2 linked regions of the Yarrowia lipolytica genome follow. The protein of the gene in region 2 interacts with the protein of the main gene of each other region in a pairwise test. Links are inferred from orthologs where the notes say so. Each region holds a gene or a part of one and is shown on either strand. Other genes may lie near its edges. The genes, in order: YALI1_F06312g and YALI1_F35489g.

Region 1 (3,713 bases), about 2.9 Mb from region 2:
ACTGCCGGTGGGCTTGCCATTATCACCGCGCACTTGGTGCTGCCCATTGGCGACGCTTCCCGGAGAGCCGACTTGATCTTCCGGGCGTTAGTGTGGCCGACATTCTTCGCAGCTCACTCCTCTGAAGCTGCTCTTGTGAGTCTCTGTGCACAGCTCCATGAGGAGGATGCTATCCGCGGCTCGTGTATTCTCCTCATGGACACCATGGATGCGGTCAATGTCTGTCTCGATTGTTTGTTGCAGCCCTGCTAAAAACCTCAGTCTACAATACGCACACACATGTGTCCCACGCGCACGACTGGTTTCTGACTACAAGTGCGTTCACACATTGCTACGGAAGATGATCCTATTAAATAAGTGATGCGGTTGGCGGAGTCAATTGGCGATACAACTGACGTATCGCCACCACCGACGGGGGTAATGCATTTGACGGTTGTATATCACCACTACCGACGACAGCTCGGGCATCTCGCAGAGCACCTCCAGCTCATTTCGTGTTTCGTTCGCACGACAGTACTAATATGCTTTCTCAACACCCATTAAAAAAGTTGAGCGGCTCGCGCTGCTCACCAACTCTTTATTCGACATCCACAACCAACCTTAGGCTAAACGGCAATGCCTCGTCAGTCACCGTCACCTCTTCCTCACCCACCAACTCTCCAACCAGCTTGACGAGATTCCCCCTGGTCATCTCCTCCAGCTCCTTGGGCGACGCCATGTATAGACTCTTGGAGGCCGTTCGCAGCGACGGGTTCTTGACCTTGGTGGCGGGATTCTCCTTGAGGCGCTCGATGAGGTTCTCCAGCGTCGTGCTCTTGGGCACGGCCAGCCGCAGCACCTGCACGCCACACACCGGGCAATCGGGCCGCTTCTGGTGCTGAAATGTGTACGTGTACACGGAGTTGTTGCCCGAGTACATCATGTAGTTGTTGAGGAACGGTACGCACGTGGTGGCGACCTTGAACGCCTCGTTGCAGCTGGAGGCCGCAATGATGGCGTTGGTGGATGCAATGGCCGGAATGATGTTTTTGATCACGCCCTGGGTGAGCTGGTAGGTGACTCCTTCGATGCCAAATTGCTCCGCCCGCGCGCGCGCCTGCTCGAAGATCCACGTCACGTCCTCGACGTCATCGTTGTCGGCCTTGCGGTCAAAGTGTTTAGGCCACTCGAGCACGCTGGCCCATTCGATGCAGTGCTCCGGGAGCCTGGGGGTGTTTGCGATGGTGCACATGGGAAACGTGGTTTGGGGCGTCAGCATGTCCAGCGAGCACTCGTAGCAGGAGGTGATGGTGGGCAGAATGACTCGCGACTGGCCCTTGAAGCCTTCGGTACCACCGTCGATCAGCGGCTTGAGGGTCTCAGGAGAGTCGCCCACCAGCCCCACGAGCGTGGCGTTGATCCAGCGCCGCGCCTCGATGGAGTCCAGGCCGCAGACAACGAGGGTGAACTGCATGTAGAAGTCGTTGTCAAAGTCCTGGATTTTGCCAAAGTGCGGCGTCACGTGCACGCCGGCGACTCGGCGGTTGATGAACTCTGCGGCGACCTCCGACTTTGGCTTGCCCACGTCCGACGGCCGGAACAGGAACTGCCGGTTCAGATTGCTGATGTCGATGGTGTCCATGTCGATCACGTGGATCTTTTTAAACCCAGAGAGGGCGAGGTTTTTGAGAATCTCGCAGCCGAGACCGCCAGCGCCAATCACGAGGATGGACATGTCTGCCAGCGCGGTGATCACGTCCGGCGACGGCGCAAACTCCTCGTCCGAGAACGGGCCGGACGTTGTGAGAACGGGAGAGATGGAGTATGGGCTGTGTTAGCAAGGGAGTCAGGGTACAGACAACGAGGCGAGCAACATAGGTCTGGGAATGGTGCACAACATGCCAAGTCATACGTCGTCACGACTAGCACAGACAATATGATAACGTCATGCCCCACATCGCCACCCCAAGCCGTAACTATGGAAATGACAGAGCACCAGCGATACCATTGTCACGTGACCAGATATATCGCCGTGGACGTGTGTGTATGTGTGTGTGTGTGTGTGTGTGACAATTGCTCGCTGTTTGTGGCACACAATACACTTGGGTCCTGGATCCTGGCTGGCTTCCGGTCTGTCAAAGTCGTGGGGTCGCGGGGCCGCGGAGTCGCGGGAGTTTCTGGACCACGGGACTTGCTGGATCACGTGACCTTGTCATGTCGCACATGTTTGTGTATCATTCGCGGTTACATGACCTCGTCTCAGTGTGTCTTTGCTCATACTCACTTTCTCACGGCAGTCATTGTTGAGAATAAGTTAGGGAGACTGGTCCAGATCTGATCATGCAGCTCATGCATTCTACATGTGGGGTTGTGGGGGATGTGTGTTCGATTCTGGGTTGTGTATTAGGGAATTAAAATATTAGAAAAATGATAAGAAATATAGAAATATAAATATAGAAATATAGAAATATAAATATAGAAAAATAATAAAATAAAAATAGAAATATAAAAATATTAAAAAAATAGAAATATAAAAATATAGAAATATAGAAATATAGAAATAAAATAAAAAATAGAAATAGAAAAAATAGAAATAGAAAAAATAGAAATATAAAAAATAGAAATATAAAAAAAAACAGAAATATAAAAAAAGAGAAATGTAAAAAAATAGAAATATAAAAAAAAAAACAAAAAAAAAGATTGAAAGAAAAAAAGGGTATTGATAGCTTGTAGATACGGACTCGAGGAAAATGTCTATCAGTTTTAGTCACACAAAAATCACGTGACACGCTAATTAAATAGATCTTGTCATCGTTCGTGGTTACATGATTCCTGTTGCACTACCGACTTATCGTGTCGTCCCCATTACCGCCAACATGTGTCGAAAATACGTCCATGTGGTGCCAACTACAAAGGCCACATCCCAATGCCATGCCTCTACAAAGACCCAACAATGTCGCCAATGTCATTTCCCCCGACGCTGGTCATACACAAATAATCAATCACATACATAATCCTTCGCTCGCTACTCTTCCACAGGAGAAGGCTCCACGTTCCAAATTCCCTCGGCATAGTCTCGAATGGCTCGGTCGGAGCTGAAGAAACCCATTCGAGACACGCTGACAATGCTCTTTCGAGCCCACTCCTTGGTGTCCTTAAAGTCGTGGTTGATGGTATGTTGGGCCTCGAGATAGGCGTCAAAGTCGTCAGAAACCAGGTAGTAGTCCCCACCGTACTTGATGGAATGGAGCAATGAGGTGTAGATCTCGGGGTCGCCCAGAGCGCCGGACTGGATGAAATCAAACACCTGCTGCAACTTCTTGCCCACCTGGACTCCGCCATATTTGTGCTTGTGACGAATGTCCTCGACCTCGTCGGCGAGATGACCAAACAGGTAAATGTTGTCTTCACCAATCTCCCGGGTGATTTCGACGTTGGCGCCGTCGACCGTGCCGATGATGAGTCCACCATTGAGCACAAACTTCATGTTGGAGGTGCCGGAGGCCTCGGTACCGGCAGTGGAAATGTGCTCCGAAATGTCTGACGCCGGAATGATAATTTCGGCCTTGGACACGTTGTAGTCCTCGACAAACACCACCTTGAGCGAGTCGAACATGTCGGGGTCATTGTTGACCACCTTGCCCACGTCGTTGATGAGCTTGATGATGGTTTTGGCCATGTAGTAACCGGGCGCGGACTTACCGCCGAAGAGAGAAACTCGGGGAGTCATCTTG
Region 2 (3,157 bases):
ACCATTTGGCTTGCCAAAATCAATGAATGTATCTCGATCACGTCGTCGTCCTTGCACGGAATTTTAGAGTCGAAGTTTTCGTACTTCCGCACCTTGGATAGCTGGCTTGGAGGGTATGCTCCATCTGGCAGACCCTTGAGTGCAACGTCCAATAAAGCCGTCGATAACCTGCTCCGTAACCCCATTGAAATGCAACCGCTTTTTACTGGTCGGGTTGAAGAGTGAGATCCTGCACCTCGGATGCCATATCCACAGTTCACAGTTTGCTGATTACACTGGTAGGGGAGGGGAAATTTAATACACACGTTCTGCTGTGTAATCAAGTTCTTTGTTGTTCGAGTGATACAAAGGTGCCCGTATCGGGAATATGATATGAGACAGCAGAGTCCATGATCAACTGTCTGATCTTGTCGCTGGTAGAAACAGACTATTCCAGGGTCTCCTGATGAGGTACATTTCTAGATTGATCCACATACCCCCACCCTATCCAATTAATCTATATGTCGCAGACCTACAACAACCACTTCTCCATCTTACTGCCAATGCCGTCGAAGAGCACAGTGTTGTTCAACGGAACATATTGCTTAGCCAGAATTTTGACAATCTCCTGAGACGCCACCCCTCCAATAACACTAGAAATGTTATGAAGCTCTCGGCCCTCGTATCGAGCGACCTCCTGAGAGTATTCCACTACGTCAGCAGTAACTCCCAGCTCGTTAGTCTTGGTCATTATCGAAAACGCGTCCTGTTTACCCCCCAGCATCTGGCTGGCTCGAATGACGTAGTAGAGTTTCAGAAGATCATCATCCTCAGAAGTGATCTGGGCTAGACTCTCGGGACTGATGTCATGGGTTAGAGACGTTCCTCGAGCTAGATGGATGAATCGAGAGTTCTTGCTGAACTCCTCAATCACAGTCTCAGGAACTTCCACCACCTTTGTAGCCACAATCTCCTTGAACCTGGACAGGTCTTTGTTTGCCTTGTCCTTATACACACGCTGGATATCAACGTAGTCTTTGGTGTATGCCTTGAAATCGGGGACGGTTCCGGACAGGGGAAAAGTACCCGTCTCAGCCACAAAGTCCTTGAGGGCTTCAACCAGAGTCCAGAAGGTCGGATCTCTATCTGTAGAGTCTTCAGCAGATAAATTAAAAAGGTCCCGGATCTGTGATGGCACCTGGTTGCTCTTTTGGTACAGTCTCCATACTGCGGCCACTGCTTCGTCCACGTTTTCGCTGTCTCCCTGACGTAATGCTTCCACCTGTTTTTTGAATGCCAGTTTCTCGTCTCGCTTAGTGGGAAGACCTCCCTCATGTTCCTTGATCCACTTATCAGCCGTCTTGAGCAATAAAACAATCATGGGGACATGATCTCGTGCTGCTGCCGTTTCGGGCTCTGGGAAGTTGTTGACGTACTCCATCAGCTCAGGCCAGGGGCTATCCAATCTCAAATCTACCAGCGAGTCCGGATGTGTATCAATGATGGGGAGCTCCTTCATTACCACTCGCACGTAGCCGTAAAATCCCGCCGAAGAGATCACCACAAGTGGGATGTAGTGTGAGTAGAGGTACTCCGAAAGGGCCTCGAGATCCGAGTACTTGTCGAAAGAAGAAACAGAGGCAACGATAATGCTGAACTGGTCAAAGTAGGAGAGGTTGGATGCTACGATTTTGCTGGGCTTCTGGTCCAGATATGAGCCTGTGCTGTCTTTGTTGAGTTCGTTAAGCAACAGACTGGCACTTTGAGCCTTGCTTTTTCCAATTGAATCTGAATCGAAGAAGAAGTTGGCCGACAGATCGTCCTCTGTCACATTGCCACCGTCCACCACGGTGTAGGAGCCGACATTGGGCAGAATCAGGTTCTTCATGGTTTCCGTGGCGACTGGAGACGAGCCCAGAAGACACACGGACGCATCTTCGAGTGCACGTTGGCCCGATGCGGCCCATAGTCGTAGCTGACGGTCGTACTTGCGGTCTTTTTGGCTGGGAATTGAGTCCGACATTCGCTGGCGTTTGTCACGGTGCATTTATTTGGTGGTGATGCTAACATGAACTGTATTTGTGGGGTGGTGTCTTCTGTGCTGCGTGCACAGTGTGAACAAACGGGAGTACCAAGTGTGTGTGTGAGAGAGAGAAAGCGTGCATCTTGTGCATAAGTTTTTTATATTCTTTTTTTTTTTTGTAAATAGAAATAAGACATACGTATTATTAAAATAGGAACGATAGGTCATGTTGTTTATTGACAGGTCAGGGGTATAGCTATATGAGGGGATAACCTGAACTGTAGTGTGGGTGTGAACAGTAAAAGCCCTGGTAATGATAGTCAGTGATACTGCACTTGTAGGTTAATCGTTAGGGTGGCAATAAGAAGTAGCAAGCGTAAAAGGCGGCCCGAGGCCACCGAGAGAACAGCAGCGTAAGCAGGGCGCGTAGTCACCACAGGGGAACGCAGAACCAAACCAATGACGAAAGAAGAACCACAAGGGAGACGTTTTTCAAAAGGCAATGCAAACGAAGAGGGAATGGAAGGATTGAGATTAAGAGAACTGGAGACCTGGAGTGGGCGTTTTCCCGATGAACGAAACAAAAACACGGCGAAGCTATGTGGACCAAACATACAACACACGGACTGAACCCAGGTTTTTTTATGATTTTTTTACTGGAAAATAGGTACGTGCCCAAGTTGGAACCATGACACTAAACGTGGTTTAATTAGTAATTATTCGTGTAAGCGTAACATTCATTTCAAAGGTTATTCTTTCACACAGCAAAGTTATAATTAAAATGAATGTTTATGCAGAAAAAAAAAAAAAAAAAGTAGTGGACCGGCCAGAGCTGTGAGGGTGAATACAGTAGTTTCGCATTGTAGTTTTAGTAGCTACAAGTACTGTATTAGTACTGTATTGGTAAGCATTGAACATATTGTGGGCCAGAAGAAAATCTTTGTAATATGCCATGTTATGGGTGCCTCTTGTGTGTTCCCGTACGATGAAAGTTGTGGCTGTCCACTTATGGTAGCTCGTTAACTACTGCAATTGTATCTAGTATTTCTGGTGTATTTATCAGACATTTAGTTGGAAAAATAGATAAAGTTCATTTGACTACTCGTAAAGCGGTGGACAGTACTGCACGCACCAGGCTCACAAAACCCATCCTGC

What was found.
Region 1: the proteins of YALI1_F35489g (region 2) and YALI1_F06312g interact in binary tests that used the Saccharomyces cerevisiae proteins (3 or more experiments, as listed by UniProt). The link is inferred for Yarrowia lipolytica from reciprocal best matches to the Saccharomyces cerevisiae genes ULA1 and UBA3.

What each region holds. Positions count from the first base shown.
Region 1 is NC_090775.1:629,468-633,180, forward strand, and holds YALI1_F06312g (uncharacterized protein), read right to left. Parts: upstream 2,335-3,713; coding exon 2,264-2,334; intron 1,809-2,263; coding exon 578-1,808; downstream 1-577. Other genes in the region: YALI1_F06351g (uncharacterized protein), read right to left, coding at 3,005-3,713. UniProt on the Saccharomyces cerevisiae protein: Catalytic subunit of the dimeric UBA3-ULA1 E1 enzyme.
Region 2 is NC_090775.1:3,547,848-3,551,004, reverse strand, and holds YALI1_F35489g (uncharacterized protein), read right to left. Parts: upstream 2,027-3,157; coding exon 512-2,026; downstream 1-511. Other genes in the region: YALI1_F35508g (uncharacterized protein), read right to left, coding at 1-185. UniProt on the Saccharomyces cerevisiae protein: Regulatory subunit of the dimeric UBA3-ULA1 E1 enzyme.